2 linked regions of the Drosophila melanogaster genome follow. The main gene of each other region encodes a partner of the protein of the gene in region 2 in a complex. Each region holds a gene or a part of one and is shown on either strand. Other genes may lie near its edges.

Region 1 (8,959 bases), about 15 Mb from region 2:
AGGAAAACACAGTGTGAAATGCCCACGACCAGTAGCCAATGCAACAGGAAAGTATTACTCTGTGGAACGGCTGAATGGGAATTCGAATGTGGTGCGACTGCTGGAATTTATACCGGGAGAAATCTTCCACCAGGTGCCGGTGACGAAGCACCTGCTCTACCGCAGCGGCGAATACTTGGCCAGGTTGGATCGAGCCCTCAAGAACTTCACCCACCAGGCATATGAAAGCCACAAGACCTTGTGGATGCTTCAGAGTGTTCCCGAGCTTAGGCAATTCCTGTACGTGGTGAAGGATCAGGAGCAGCGGCTTATCTGCGACGAGGTGATCGATGCCTTTGAAGCCAAGGTTCTGAGCCAACTGCCATCCATGGAGCACCAGATCATCCATGGGGACTTCAACGAACAAAATATAGTGGTGGAGCAGGTGCCCAATCAAACTGAATATACCATCAAGGGAGTTATTGATTTCGGTGATACGAGCAAATCGCCACTGATCTTCGAAATTGGAATTGCCCTCACTTATATGATACTGCAGGCCAACGATTTGGCCAATGGTGGCATATTTCTGTCCGGTTATACCAGTCTGAACCCAATTGAGAATTCCGAGCTGGCCCTTCTCAAGTACTGTGTTACTGCCCGATTTGTTCAGAGCCTGGTAATGGGACTCTACACCCACACGCTGCATCCCACAAATGAGTACCTCCTGGTGACCCAGGAAAAGGGATGGAAGCTCCTTCAGAAGCTGTGGCGCGAGAGCTTTGACGATATTGATGAGCTGTGGGCAAGCACTGGACACCAGTACTTGACGCAGAGCAATAAATAATATAAAATTCCGTTAGGCTTTTCCGTTTTTTAAAGGTATTTTAACTGATTTTCAATCCAGCTATTCTGGTTGTTGAAGATTTTGTATGTTATGTTTTCCATTAGGTAACGAGGGTCAGATAAAATTGTCACAGCCAATATATAGAGTATAATGAAGCATTTTCTAAGATATTAAATACATTTGCAATTAGCCCCTAAACAAGTTTATATCGAGATGATCGCAAACAAAAAGACATCTAAGGAAACCAGAAGCAAGCGATGCCAGGTCATTGGAAAATCAATTGAGGCCTGTTAAATAAACCCATTGTCAATTATTAGAATTTCATTTACATATCACCTGTGCAAAATAAGTTGCAAGTCCAAGTATTGATTGCATTTCGTTGCTTTACAATTTACTTTATCCTGTATATTATTATCGTTATCTTTACAATAAAACTTGTTAAACAAATACAAATACATTGTATGTAGTACATTTATTCTTACAGTAGGTGAGTTTGTTTAGGGCTCTACAATGGTGGCAATTAATTTCGAATTGATTTTTAGTTGAAGCTTCAGTAAATTGAACTATTTAACGCTAATTACATTGAATGGTGTAAAATGGTGTTGAACGAAGTTCATCCACCCTCCGCTCCTCCTTTTCCTGGACAATGTACATCGTATCGTATTTACTTTGTTACATTATAATTATCTCTATGCGTTTGGGTACAGTGCCTACTTAACGCTATATTACAAGTAACCGACTTTACACCTATCGAAATGTACAAAAATAAGACGCCACTCGAAAGCGAGCTGGTGATTTGATTTCTCCGGACGTTGGCAGGCTCCATATCATTGCGACAGAAAGTCAAACAGAAGAAGTGTTAAACGAAACAATATTTAGCCAAAAATACATGGTGCCCATAAGGCCAAACGGGTGTGCAGTTCGGGAATCAGTTTTATATTTATTCTTCAAATCTAGTTTTCATCTTAACGGCCTTTCTTGTTCGATACAACATAAAACAAGTTTAATGAAGTTAATAAAATAAAACAATAGATCCAATGTATAATTTGATTACTCGAAGCAGACAACCACTCGCACTCAATTTTTACACAATCAAATCCTAAAAAAAAAGACAAATTATCAGAGATATACCTGAGTAACTCTTTGCAACACACACGTTGTCTGCATTCGAGAATCGACAGATATAACAGTATAAACAAAGACAAAAAAAATGGTTATAAGGGCTAAAGAAAAAAAATATTTAAAAATATAAGTCTACGAATTTCATTGTTTTTCTCCAAAAAAATGCCCAATATAACTTATGTGAATATCTTTCGTGTTCTTATCACTTTAGTGCGGGCGATTTTAAAGGTGATAAAGCTGAGATGAGTTAACCAATCTAACTAAGCGACTGGTTTGAATTACATGCTGTGTGGGACTAAGTAATTTACGTACATTGGAAACAAGCAAGGGTGAAACTCTTTTCAATTGCAAGACGTTAACTAAAAACTAATCATTTCCAGACCAGGCGACGAACATTTGGATTCATTTACATCTAATATAAGATCGAATTATTTATATTTCAAGGAAATAAATATGATAACAATTTAATAGAAAAATGTTTGAATAGGACAGCTCAATTTACTTGCCTTTTAAGATCTCTCATCGCATAAGAAACGACAAAACTTTGACATAAATTTATAGATTCTATAACAAAGAATTTCTAATGTTCCAGAATTCAGCGTTCCGTTCATTTTATTACACAAATAAAAACGGACAGTTGAGGAACCATATATACAATAAACATCGTCTGCTCTGGATTATTTGACTTCTAGACGATCTGTGGTAATCGTTACTGTTAACTCTGGTGCTTTCACGTTAAGCTTAAGAAATAATTCATGATTTAAAACTGAAAATCATTAGTATGTCAAACGCAACGACTTCCCCCAACCGACAGTCTTCTGCTTAGCTCCAGTATCAGATCCCCCAGGCGTTTCCTGGCTAACGATTCTTCTGGCGCTTGCGTCGCTTGGGAAACACGTAGGAGGAGTGATTTTCTTGATGCCTCGCCTCGGCAGCAGTGGTGGGTATTTTTTTGCTAGCCAACGTTGCCACCGGCTCAGCCAGTGCCTTGGACCTGGCTATGGAGGTTGGCGCTTCGATTGCATCCACCCAAGGCACACCGAAATCATCCCGCGCCTCCATGTTGACCACGTTTTCGCCGAATGCCTGAACTGTCACCTCGTTGACGAATTGGATGGCCTCTATGTCCTCGGGCAGCGGGTAGAAAGTGGAGGCGCGCAGAGGATCCAGCGCAACCAACACCTCGTCTTGGTTCCGTCGCATCCGAAGCTGTTCAAGCCGTATCTGCTCCTTCATATAACGTGCATCCCTACACTTTCGATCGACCTCATCCTTCACATATTTCTGGTGCCGGCGCTCGAAGGTCGCATCGCTCAGTAATTCTGTGTCAATTTTATCCGAACTGGGTGGCACTGGGACATCCCGCCACTTGGGTATCTCCAGACTAGGGTTATCCGCCAGCAGCTCGTCGGCCTCCTCCAGGAAGAACTCGTTGTCACAGTGGAACTCCTGATCCTCCCACGTTCTCGTGCTGTACGGAAACGTGGCAGTGCGGAATCTGGACTGCAGTTTTCCCGATCTCGCCGTTGCCTTGCTGTACGTGTGGGGTGAACAGTTGTTTAGCGTTTTTCGGATAGTCGAAGTGGTGCTGCTAACACTGCTATTAGATTGAGGTGTCAGAGGAGTTGCTATTTGTTCAGCTGCCTTGGATTTCGATTTTGCTGCAGATATTTCCTGGTCCATTGAGGATGTAACCGCATGCTGTGGCGTTGAGCCAGGCGTTGGTGTCGTTGACGGCGTAGGCGCTGGGGTTATTGTTGTTGAGGATACTGGTGCACTGGGTGGTGGATATATTAGATTTGTGGCGACTCTCTCTCTTATTTTCTTGAGCGTAACCTGTGACGAATGACTCTGGCTTAGGAGCTCCTTTTTTAAATGTTCCGCCAGTTTTCTTCTAACTGTTTCCACATCTATTTCTTGATCTGGGCTCTGAGACGTTTCCGACGTGGTCTTTTTATCATTGACCAACATACTTTTACTTTTAATGGTTTTCGTCTCGGGCGTCGAAACTGGATCAACGTTCTTTTGTTTCCGAATATCAGACGGGGCGGAGGAGCCGGTTCTCATGTCAGGATGCATTTCATACTGCCTGATCTTAACCTGCAAACGCTGCGTTTTTACAGGATCCGTTTGCGTCTTGGTGGACTGATGGTTGGCTATTACTTTTTGAGCGGGAGCGTCTTTTATGTCAGCGGTGTTTGCCTTGGGCAACGTGCTTTCTCGAGAGGATGTTTTCGTAACCTTTGGGGCTACCGCTTTCGGAAGGTGCTTAGGTGCATCCTCTGGTTGCCTTTTCAGAGTTTCCTTCTGTACCTTACGAACATCCTCTTGTGGTTCCACGCGAACATCCAGCTGCCCATCCTGCCTCTGTTCGTCTTTGGGCTGGTCCTTCGGTTTTAAGTCCGGCTTGGGAACTTCCAACTGATTCTTTATTGCATTATGATCAACGATGGCATCTTCCTGATGCGGCTGCTGCTTGGGTACTTCTGGGGACTCGGGGACTGATTCATGTTCCTTATCCTTTTTCTTAAAAGCCACCCACTTCGGGAGAATCGGCGCTTCTAATGCATCTACCATTGGCTCAGGCTTTAGTTGCAACAACTTTTCAGTTATCCGATTCTGATTTCCTTCTTTCCTTATCTCTGCCTGTGTCGAAGACTTCTGCTGGTGATTGGGAGTTGAATGGGCCGAAGGCGCACAGGTCTTCTCCTCCGTCGGGTCCAATTCCAAAAGGTAATTCTGAAAGAGTAAAGGATTGCTCGATATATTCTTTTAATTAAATAATAACATTAAACATACCTGATTCTGCCAGAGCTCTTCCTCAGTTCTGGCGTTTACATCCGCATCGCTATGCATCCACGGATAATCATCCTCTTCACTGTCATCGTCTTTATCACTATTCTCGTCATCTTCGTCGTCCTCGTCATCATCCTCCTCGATATGGCCGTTGGCATCCACGGACTGTCCATGCTCCTCCATATCAACCAGCTCTTCGGTGACCACTTCCATTTCAATTGATTCCAAAGCATCATGAAAGATATCGCCTCCAACGACTTCCTCGGTGTGCACTTCTTGCATATGCAGATGATCTTCCTCAGCGACCAGTTGGTCCTCTTCCTGAGATATTTGCTCCTTATGTGCCTCCATCTCGTGCTCCTCTGCTACTTCCGTTTGCTCGTGGATGTGGTGCTCGAAGTCCTGATTCATGCGCTGGAGAATAAACGTGCTCACCTTTTTACCGTTGAATTCACCGCGGCCTTTGCTCTCCGAGCGTTTGCTGGCTGGCTGATTCGTTACCGCTCCAGCGTGATGGTCCAGAGCGGGAGACTCCTTCATGTTGATACCCCTGGGAAGTGCATTCGCGAATTGAGGCTGCGCATCTATCGTTTGTGTGCCCTGTTCCCGCTCCCGAAACACAGTTTGCGTCTCAGCATGACAACGTATCAACTTCTGCTGCGGGGCAGCAGGTGGCAGTGGGGGATCATCGTCGTCGTCGTCATTGTCGTTCCTTCGCTGGTTCTTTCGCCGCAGCTGTTTGCATAGTTCCTGGTTGGCGGCCTCCAACTGAGCAACGGCCTGCTTTAATTCCTCATTCTGCGCCTTCACCACGCTCATCTTAGCGCTTTGGTCGTCCAGCTCCTTGTCCTTGGCCGCTATGCTGTCCGTCTGCTCCTGCATCAGGTTTAAGTTCAACATAACCATGCGCCTCAGGTTGTTGTTCTCCGAGATGAGCTTGACCATATCGGCGCCGGCACACACGGTTCCGCCGGAGGAAGGAGGAGCCATGGCTCCGCCACCATGCTCAGCTGGCAGCGAATGCAAAAGCTTTCGGTAGTTGTTATTACCCCCGCCATGTCCTCCACGACCATTGCCATATTGCTGGCGCTCATAGATCTTCCCGGGATGCTGATGAAGATGCTGCGTCTGATTGGGATGGCCGTGCAGATTCCTTTGGCGGCCACGCGACGGTATGTGGGGATAGGGCGATTCCAAGTAGTTGGCCCGCTTTTTGGGCGGCCACTTGAATCGCTTGTCCATGGCAGTCGAATTGAATCCCGTGCCGTCGGTCCTACGATCTCATAATTCTCCAAATGTTTTTGTTTTGTTTTGGTTTTGTTTGCGTCGCTTGGGGTGCACACAATCTCTTCAGCTGATACGCCGTACAATGCGTAGAATCCCGATTACAATTTCGCACCACACTAAATTTTCCTTGCTCGCCCTCGCAAAAGAACCGCTCTTTTCTTGGCCAGAATCTAATGGATTTATCGTTTTAAACGTGGCGTTCTTATCGCACGTGGTGACCGCATTTAGGCAGCAGTTTTTCGGTTCGTTTTTGAACGTTCTTTCACCGCTTTTTCCACAATTGTCCTCACAATGTAAAGTCGCCCCGAAAATGCTCTTAAAAGTATGGCGTTTTGCTGGCGTTGCCACTTTTCGCCAAAGCGCAGAGTTGATTGGGGGCATAGAGATGGCAATTTGCTGCGATGCACGAGCTGAGCACGACAGTCACGAAGTGAAAATATTTTCACGAAACTGTACTTTGTTGCACATAATAGCTAATAGCTAAGTTAACACGAGCCGACGAACTAGTACAGTTGGCTTAGTGTATGAAACATAATATCAAAGTGCTGAGACAGCATTGGGCCGGAGTCTTTGTTAGCTTTAAGAATCATTTTAAGTTTCAGCTTAAATTTGCAGTTACCAGAATAAAGAGCGGCAGCTCGTCAACTCCGACTAAATGTCGTTAAACACATTTTTATTTCTTACTCTGCCAGACCACAAGGATAGCAGTTAAAAGAGGACAGTTTCTCTCAACGTAAATAATAATCTTCCGTTGCTCCCCGGATAATTATTTTCAATTTTTATGTGGTATGAGTAATTGGAATGAGAAAATAGATGAAAAAGAAACTAGCTAGCTAATAATGTATTGATTTTATTTTATTTTTTTTGGTAATTTTATTACATTACCAACTCCTTTTAAATATTTCACTAAATTTAAATAACTACAATCTTTGGATGAATTATCCTTCCTTGTATAATGGTATAAATATAATAGAATAACAAAAACTCGTGACGCCAATGTGTCGCTTAGTGATAAAAAAAACGTGTCACGCTGCCATCTCTTATGTCTGCTGCCACCAATGCAAAAGCCGGGTTGGCTGTACAAATTACCTTTAGTGCCACCCACTAATGAAAATATGTCTAAGCAAATCAAAATAGCCTTTGGGAAAGACCAAATAGTTATGTAATCGGAAAATTAAAAGAACAAAGAGCTGTTCAGTTGGCAGCCCCCTGTGACTTATGCAAGCGTCGCCTGTGAATGGTAGATAGAGAAGAAGAACAAAAATTGGCGCCAAAATTTTGTTAGATTGTTTATTTGGTATTTAAGTTTCGGCCACTAGTTCTATGGCATCCCTGTTCGGAGATGATGGTGTGGATGACCTATTCAATGACAACATTCCGACTGACCCGGATCAGCTGCCCAGCGATGGCGAAGGCGAAAAGCTGTTTGCGGACGACGAGGACAACGGCGTAGAACCTGGTAGCCAGGATGCCCAGATAGTGGAGCCTAAGAAGCGAGCTGTGAGAAATCCCCGACCGCGACTCACTGTGGAAACACTTCGAGGTCCTCGTGGCATCCAGACCATCGAAGATTATTTTAAGGACATCAAATTCAAGGGCAAGGGTTACGAGAAAACCGATCTCGACGAGGTGCTTCGCCGCCTGCAGCACTGGGGCCATCGTATGTATCCCACCTACACCTTTGACGATGTGCTTAACAATATCGAACGGCTGGGCAAGAAGAAACCCCTCCAAGTGCACATGGCGCGATATCGACTCGGTCAGCTGGAGCAGATGCGCGCCCACGAAGCGGAGGCCCTGGAGGAGGCGCAGGATGAGCAACAGGAAGGTGCCGGCGATGAACCCTTTGATGAGTTCGACGCCCTGCTAGGTGAACAGATTGCCATGTCCAGGCTGGCGCCTCCCAGCCCGCAGCAGTGGAAAATGTCTACTGCTTCCAGTAACAGCACGCTGGCTACTCCGTCATTCTCCCGCGGCAATGCTGTAATGTCCACGCCGTACTCCGGTGTAAATGCGACCTTCGACAGAAGTGGAGCTTCTGTGGCTCCGGCCTTCGATCGGAATGGAGCTCCGTTGGCATCGATGGACATCAGCGACTATGGTCAGCCGCTGCCTCCCTCACAGCCTCCCACGCCGGCGGCTAAGAAATTATCCAACGAACAGATGGCCAGGATTGCGGAAAACCGCAGGCTGGCGCAGGAGCGACTTAAGGCCAAGCAGCAGCAGGAGAGCGGAAGTAAAAGTTAGTGTATATTTATGATATAAAAACGCATATTTTTATAATTTTCAAAGGATAATTTATAAAAATAAATGAATAAGCTACGTTGAAAGTTAATGCGCGGTACTTAATATCTAAATTGATTTTTCTGTACTTCGATCTTTGATGAATATCACTTTAAATATACCCTTAATCGTATTAAAACCACTCGCATTAGTGTTACACATGTATCTTTATTCAAACGTTTTAGTCGGAGACCGAGAATAATAAGTTAGGATTCGGGTGTAAAAAACTATATGGAGTGCTGGAGTATTTACAAAGATGAATGGTCATGATGGTGAGGGTTCGTGTAGAAAATACTTTACAAGTCTTTAAAGACTAGTCGGGATACTATTAGGGTACTGGTGTTTAGTGGGACTTGGCCCATCCTAAGTGCTAAATCTGAGGGCGACTCTGGGCAGCGATTCGAACAGACCCTTGGCTCCCTCCAACAGAGCAGCTACGATCTTGACAAGCACTACATCTTGATTCGAAGTGCTTTGTGACTGGCCATCCTGATCTTTGGGATCTGATCGTTCCTTAATGGCCTCGCGGATCACGTGCAATAATCTCTGATACAGAAACGATTGCCTGTAAATGGGCTTGGAGAGACTCAAGTGATCATCCTTCAGCAGATAGAAGTCCCCGAAATCTATCTTAGAGGACTCTTCGGT
Region 2 (7,885 bases):
CACGCCCATGGTGCGATTGACATCAGGCAGGTGGTACGGATCGAAGCCCTTCTGCCGAACCATCTTGCGTGCCATGGCAATGGCGCTGTCCAGCGGCGTTATGGAATTGGGCAGTCGGCGTTCGCCCAAGGTTTTCTGGATCATTACGTTGATCTCGCTGCGCAGCTTTTTGTCCGCCTCCTGGAGCATAAATGGCTTCATGGCGTCGAAGACCAAGTTGGGCGCACCGTTCACCACGCTCTGAAAGACACTGCCCACCAGGCCGAGGTTCTGGAAGTCCATTGTCATGTCCGAGAATGTGATGTCGATCTTGATGCGGTCCGTGGCCAGCTGACCGTCTCGTTCGACGGCCAAGAAGGCGGTTGCCTCGGCATAGACATTCTTCAGGACTACTGTAAAGGGTCCATTGGCTTTCGAAAAGAATGAACTGAGGGTGTACTGGCCCTTGACCAGCATCTGGTCCAGCTGGAGGCCACCGTTGAACTGCAGGACAGAGGAGTGGAAACTTCAAGCCAATTCGAATTCAACTTGAAAACTTACTCTCATTTCCTTCAGGTCTAGGTTCATTTTATCAATGCGGAACTTGGACAAGCCATACGCCTTGACCTGCTTCATGTCCAGATTGGCCATGCCCATGCTCTTCTTCACATTGGGCACCTCCAACGGATCGGGCACGGGCACGCCGGGCAGACCCTGCGGATCCTCCTGCTGAAAGTGCACGAGCATGGCCTCCACCTGGGCGGCTATGCTGGCCTGACTCTCTTTGATCTTAAGTGCGTCATCCGACTCGCTGGCTTCCTGCTCCACAGCTGCTCAAAGGTCATTAATGAGTGGCTTAGTTCCGGTAGAGCTCAGACTGGAATTCGTCTTACCATCGCCAGGCTCCTGGGAGTGAACAATGTGGCAGCCACTTGCCATCAGGCCCACGAGCACGACCACTATCAACGGCTTCATCTTTCGGGGATTAGCTGGAGCTTCTGCTTATCAGTTGGAAAATGGAAGAAAACGCGCCAGCCTCCGTTCTCTACTCGGAACAAACACGCACTGTCGACTGGCGCGTTAATCAAAAGATAATGATGAGCCGCAGGCGGCGATCCGCTTATCTAAGGGCGACTCTGCTCGCGGAGCTGCTGATTAAACTCGGAATTGAGATTGAGTGACTTAAGTGAGCGGAAGCGGCCAGCACATTGTAGGCACTCATGGAACTCACTCCACTCCCAGGAACGATGTTCTAGAAATCATGAACTAGCAGCTTGCATGAGGCAAAGAGTGTTACGGTTCGAAAACGGTTTTGAAACCCAAAGAAAATCGCGCATTTTTCTGTAGTAGCAATGCTCATTTTTATTTGAATATTTTAATAGTTATATGTTCGCATATATAATATGGGTATATATGGCTTACTTGAATTGTTGTTCTTAATCCTAGGTTCACGTGCTCAAAAAAATTCATGCTCAAAAAAAGTCTTAGCCTATTCAAAAAAATGTCTTAGCCTATTAAAAAAAAAGGTTTTTTTTAGCTCACAGCATCCACATTTTGGGCAAAGCAATCTATAATTCGCTGTTCGTTGAACGAAAATAATCTTTAGTTTTGACTAATGCTTTACTCTTAAATAGATTATCTTTGCTGCAGCTGCAGAATTGCTTTAAATAGTTATGTATACGACTTTTGGCTTAATACGTATTAAAAAAAAATTGAGTTTTGGAAACGTTTGCTGGATGATTACAAAAATCAGATTGTAGAATGCTCCTAAAAGATATTTGGGAGTTGATTTGAGTGGAAGTTGTTTGAGTGGGGGAATATATAGCATAACGAAACCACAAGTTAAAAACAAGAGAGAATGCTAAAGTCGAATTTCCCGACTATCAGATACCCGTTACTCAGCTAGTGGAAATACGAACGCGAAATTTCATCATTTTTCTGGGATATCCAAGAGATATTGGGAAATAAAATGAGAAAAAATTTAAAATTGTGGGCGTGGAAGTTTTGGGCGGTAAGTGGGCGTGGCAACATGGGTAAACAACCAAGCGCTGCATCTATGTCTCTAGAATTTATATGCTTAATCTCAACCTTCTAGCTTTTATAGTTCCTGAGATCGAGACATTCATACGGACAGGGCCAGATCGACTCGACTATTGATCCTGATCAAGAATATATATACTTTACATGGTCGGAAACACATCTAGTATACCCTTTTACTCTACGAATAACGGGTATGATAAGAGGATCAAAGACGATACCACGTTATGGATGCAATTCAGTGCTGAATTCGACCATCCATAACGTACATAAAAATTATCTATTAAAGGATTGATACCTGGACATCACTGAGCACATAAAAAAACAAACATATAGGGATGAGTCGTCTTGCTTACAAGTCATCCGAGCCCGACATGATCTCCTCGAACAGTGAATGGGCATTGTCAGTGGCCGATGATCTGTCGCCAGCGGCAGAATTGCTCCTGGATCCGCCACTGACAAGCTCATCCACCGTGTCGAGGGCCGAGAAGTTGGCCCTTCCTCGGCGTGTTCGACTGGTCCTGAATTTCTTGGCCGGTGGCTCGATGACTTCCCTGTCAGGAGCAGGAGGCGGTGGTGGCGAAAGTGATGGAGCTGGTGGATTCGGCGGGTCAATTGTTGGCATTATATAAGCATACTGGGGAAGGGAACCGAAGCCATCGGTGTGCTGCAGCTGGACACGAATAGTGAAGCCAACGGTGACCGGATCAAGGGGCTTGCTGCCCTGGAAGATATTGAAGCCTGCAATTGGAACAGGGTTAGATAGGTCTAACACAGCGATGAGGTAACTTACCCTGGTACTCGCCTTTCTCATTCTGAACAAGCACCAAAGGATGCTGGGATTGCTGCAAATTATTTAGCGGCACTAGGCTTATGGGGGCAGAAGAGTCTGGCGGCGCCATACTGTTCTCCTCCTGCCTAGGCTCAGCTACCACCGGCTCCTCCGACTGAGTCATCGGCTCTGGAACGTCCTTCGGCATTTCGAAATCCTCCAAATCATCGTCCTCATCACTTTCAACGTAGTCCTCCTTGTGCGGATTCTTGCAGCACACGCAATGACACCCGGCACAGCTGTTGTAACTCTTGTAGCAAGGACATCGGGAATTCCGGCAGGTGGTGAGGGTATTGCTCGAGCCGGAGATACCGCAGCGGCACTTCGGCTTCGGAGGCTTCACCTTTTCCTCCTTGTCCTTGCCCCGAATCCTGCGAAGAGCGCCCTTTCCAGATTGCACTTTAGTCTTGACCTCAGACGGTACAGGCTCAATTTTGGCAGCTTGTGACGCTTTGAGAGTACGGGTTCTCTTTCGCTTAAGTGTTGGCTCGTCACTGTCCTCCTTCTGCAGCTCAGCACTGATTGCGTGCAGGTCCTTCTCCTTCTCCTTCGCCTCTTCAGCCGCTGCCTTTGCGTCCTCAAAATCTTTCTGCAACGACTCCGCATCCTGCAATTCTGTTTGCACATGACCCAATTGTGTTTTTGTGGCAACATGCTCCTCCACTGCTTCCTCCATTTCGGTTTGTGTAGGTGACTGTGAAGTGTGCACATCCAAGTGTTGATCCTCCTCCATGTGCTCAGCTACAACCTCTGACGGGATTGAGGTCCCTTCGGCCTCTTCAACGGTCTCTTCAACCAGAGCCTCATCAGATTCCTCAACTTGCAGATTAGCCAATTGATCAGAGATTTCGTTGGGTTCCTCAGCGGAGGTAAGCACTTCTAGCTGCGTGGATGTTTCAACGGTCTCTTCAACGGTGGTGGAGAGCACAGTCAACTGTGTGGACGTCTCGACGGTCTCCTCAACGGCAGCCAGCACAGCCAACTGAGTGGAGTCCGCCATTTGCACCACCTGGCCGATTTGCAGTTCCTGTGGATCGAACTTCGTGGTCGCAGAAGTGGGCATCACGTAGGAGACAGCAAAGTTGTTGCCGCTATTTGTGTATTTGGACACCGAAACCGTGCCAGACAGGTCTACCTGATCCGTCCACGCTTGGTCCATGAAGCCCGACTCCGAGCTCTCGGTGGCAATGACTATTTGCCCGGCGTGAGAGAGCATGCCCATGCGAGATCCTGTGGGCAGCAGGGGAAGCGGCGAGAAGTGACCCTGCTCCGCTGTGGCCGCCGCCTCCGCCTCAATGTCGCTGATGTTGAGGTGGTGATCATAGGGCAGTTCCGGAGTCGTGACCGCCGACGTAGGCGGCGTCTCTGCGGGCAGCGATGTGGGCATGTCCTTGAGGAACGGCAAATCCGGCTGGGGCAGAAAGATGTCAAAAGTGTCGGAGATGTTTGAGCCCTCGCGAATGAACTCCTGTGTGGTTTTGGGAGGCAGCTTGATGCGAGGCACCAGCTCCCTGGCCACCTGGGGCCGCATCCCGGCCAGCTCACCAAATAATGCCGAGTGGAGCAGGTGGACGCACAGCGTCTTGTAGCACAGTAGCTGGGCGGCCATCATACGGTTCTCCTCGTAGGTCTTGAAGTCGGAGCAACCCTCGCACTGGGTGCAGCTGGGAAACAGATGCTTCTTACCGCGCAGACACAGCCGGCACACGTTGTGCTGGCACCGCTTGCCCTTGGGCGAGTAGGGATCCACCAGCAGCTGGCAGCAGACCACGCAAGACAGCAGCTGCCGTAGCTCGCCGAGCCCGGAGTTCAGCTCCTCCACCCGCCGTTTGGAAAGATTCGAAGCGGAGCGCATCGCGATGCGTGTCACCTTCAAGTATGCCGTCTGGGCCATGATGGCTATATTTTTATGCCCGGGACTGTACGCACGCCGCTGTTTGTTTACGTTTTTCAGCCCAAAAGTGAGACTCCGCTGGCCAAGTAAGTGCCTTGTCGGTCCGACCCACGCCACCTGCTCCGCTACCTGGTGCCTCCTGGGCTAGTTACCTGCAATTCCTCGCCCGTAGGAGCTCAGTTACACATGCTTAGACCGCGTTAATCCTCGATTTCATTATCTAATGGTAACTTTACTGGAACGCTTTTTGTTGGTTTCACTTTTGTGGCTTCGTTATCACTATGTTTCACGTGCAAAAAAAAAAAAAAAATTGGTTTACGTTTGAGAGGTCTCAAGTCATTGTTAATGGTTATGCTGCACACTGTGCAACAGCGTTGAAAACAATAAATTAGCAACTAAAAAAAAAAATTACCCAAGCAATATTTTGCTGAGCGAAGCCAGTGTGACCGCAGTGTGCCAGTGCGAACATGCTAGCTGCAGTGCGGCATAGGTGTGACCACTACCTCGAACAGCTGATTTCAGTGCTCTGAGGAATTTTCGCAGTTACGAACTGCGGTCCTACAACAAATTTTAACACTTAGTTTTTCAAGTAAATATGGTTTTTTAAGTATTTTCCGTCAAAGGAAAGCGGAAAACCTTGGAAATTATTTACTAACAGCTCTTCCGCTTACGCCAGGTGGTAGGAGAGCCAGAAAATGCCGGAACCGCGCAGTCCGATGGCCAGTTTTGCCGAGTCGGTGCTGAATGTCATCGATGGACCCATAACTTGGTTCCGTGGTATGTAGTCCACAGGGATTCCCAATGGCCATGGTCATGGGAGTCTCCAGATGCTGCAAGTTTGCGTTTCCTTTGGCCAACGATCGGAAAAACCGGACAAATTCCAGACAATTACATAATGACATAACCTCAACTCGCAGTCCATTTGTTTTTGTTTACACTGTATTGCTGAAATGCTAAAATGTTTATAATCAACCGTTTTAAGTAATTTCTAGCTAGCGCAAACTAAATCTCTTAGAATACTAGTCGGCAGCCCTTAAATGCCGTCCGTTACTATATAGTTCATCTAGTCAAAGCGGGATCATGTTTTTCAACAGAAATGCATTACAGCTAGTATATTTTATTAATGCGCCTTGTGTTAATCCCACAGAGAGCATTGTGGAGCCGAACCAGCAGAAGCAGAATTGGTACCACCAGCGCTTCCGCCGCGTTCCGACGATCGACCAGTGCTACACGGACGATGCCGTCTGCCGTTTCGAGGCCGATCAGCAGTTCCGCCGGGATCGCATGGTCGACAACGAGATTGTCAACATTCTGCGCCAGCGCTTCGAGGACTGCACCCTCTACGAGGCACCCGATCACATGGTCAAGTGCAGGCCGCTGATGGATCAGTACGAGAAGGCCACCGAGAACTGGTTCATCAAGTGTGAGTGGAATCCCTTACCCATCTTCTTTAAAGTTGTATGTGATATATAACGAGATATAACCCATTATAGATGGCGACTTGGGAGGCTACGCCAATGCCAAGACCGCGTACATGAAGCAGAAGCATCGTCTGATCTGGGAGCGTCGTCATGGACCAGTGGGCAGTGGCATGAAGGAGGAGGCCGCCCATTAAACTCCGCTTTTATGATGATGTTTTCTAGTTTCATTATCCGTTAAAACAAAATATACACGCCGTAAAACGATATTCCCAAGGATTGAGCTTTCTTTCAATTGTTTCAGTGTAAATTATAAGGTAAGAGCTACTAGGAATTATTTATTACTACAGCAGTTTCAATTCATTTGTCTATTAGTTGCATTTATTCTTAGTCATGTTTTTCTTAAAATAAATATTAATATTGGCGTTTGATATAGAATTTTGGCTATAGACTAGCTTAAAACTAATAGTTCTCAAGATTAAGAGCCTTGGTTAAGTTGTTCCAGTGAGTAAAATAAAGTTTTTGCCTGCGTACTGCAATAAGTTTACAGAATATAGTGATAAATCATAAAACTCACACTGTAATTCTTCAGACTTTTTCGAAAATTTAGACAATTTCAAAAAGAGTTCCATAATTTCTCATTTTTTAAAAAAAGGAATGCACAGTCCATAAATCATTTGCTTTTCTTAAAAAAAGAAAAAATTACACTTTTAGAAATAGATACCAATAGATAGGCAATAGTGAAATTTGTTCAAGCTTTCTAGAATTACGCTATCTTAGATTACTTTCGAGCTCAGCTAATCGAGACCAGCGGCTTGTTGATGAGACTCTTTTTGAGCTTAGCCAGAGCGCTATTTGCGGCCTTGTCTCCTGGCTTCTTGTCCTTGTTTTTGGGACCCAATGGTATCATGGTTGTGTCCATTAGCTTGCGTCTGAATCCCTTGTAGAACTGCAGCACGTGTGGATTGGCCCACACTTGCTTGGCGTCAAAGTCCAGGATGCGAATGGACTGCAGGGATTTCGCACGGGATAAGGCCACATAGGCCTGTCCAGCCTCAAATACTTTGGAAAGGGACATCTCCACGCAGTCGAGGGTTAGTCCCTGACTCTTGTGTATGGAAAATGCCCAGGCTAACTTCAGTGGCACTTGGCGTCGTGTTATATGGTTTCCTGAGGCGGTCTTTATTATCCACCTTTCGTGCTTGCAAACGTATTCCTGGTTGTTTTTGAACCTTACCACTGGCAGATCCTTCTCCATTCTTACAACGACGCCTCGAGCTCCGTTCACCAGTCCATTGGATATGTTTATATTCTTGAGTAGCATTACTTGGGCGTTAACTTTTAGGTACAACTGAGATGGAGCCTGGATCTGTTGATCCAGTGTCCTGGTCATGCTGGCATCGGAGTCGTCAGCCTTGAATAAAATCTTGTCGCCATCGAGGTTTTCCAGCTTGGACTCGTTAATGGAGTTCGCATCGTTTGTGTGGGAGCAGAGTTGAGTGGCCAGAATGCCGTTTCCCTCAATTTTCTGCTTTGATGTAGCTGCAAGTCGACTGGTTATGGAATCGTTCACATGGCCAATTCGGAGGTGGTTCAGAATCTTTACAAACTCCGGATCCGATTGCCGATGCACTTGCTTCAGTTCGTAGACACACTGGATGCAAGTCTCCCATGCGGAGGACTGAAAGCAGAATCGTTGCTGGGGCGTGGCAGTGGGGGCTGCAC

The links.
Region 1: msl-2 (region 2) and msl-1 share a complex: the UniProt entries of both Drosophila melanogaster proteins name them as parts of the male-specific lethal (MSL) histone acetyltransferase complex.

The regions. Positions count from the first base shown.
Region 1 is NT_033779.5:18,682,443-18,691,401, forward strand, and holds msl-1 (male-specific lethal 1), read right to left. Parts: upstream 6,359-8,959; 5' UTR 5,984-6,358; coding exon 4,745-5,983; intron 4,685-4,744; coding exon 2,804-4,684; 3' UTR 1,278-2,803; downstream 1-1,277. Other genes in the region: CG31751 (uncharacterized protein), read left to right, coding at 3-823; CG10336 (uncharacterized protein), read left to right, coding at 7,352-8,275; CG10383 (uncharacterized protein), read right to left, coding at 8,675-8,959. UniProt on the Drosophila melanogaster protein: Component of the male-specific lethal (MSL) histone acetyltransferase complex, a multiprotein complex essential for elevating transcription of the single X chromosome in the male (X chromosome dosage compensation).
Region 2 is NT_033779.5:3,460,898-3,468,782, forward strand, and holds msl-2 (male-specific lethal 2), read right to left. Parts: upstream 5,216-7,885; 5' UTR 5,155-5,215; exon of another isoform or gene 5,022-5,154; 5' UTR 4,743-5,021; coding exon 2,810-4,742; intron 2,758-2,809; coding exon 2,369-2,757; 3' UTR 1,321-2,368; downstream 1-1,320. Other genes in the region: CG3246 (uncharacterized protein), read right to left, coding at 1-483, 541-809, 873-954; ND-PDSW (NADH dehydrogenase (ubiquinone) PDSW subunit), read left to right, coding at 5,438-5,519, 5,890-6,165, 6,236-6,357; Pif1 DNA helicase, read right to left, coding at 6,954-7,885. UniProt on the Drosophila melanogaster protein: Limiting component of the male-specific lethal (MSL) histone acetyltransferase complex, a multiprotein complex essential for elevating transcription of the single X chromosome in the male (X chromosome dosage compensation).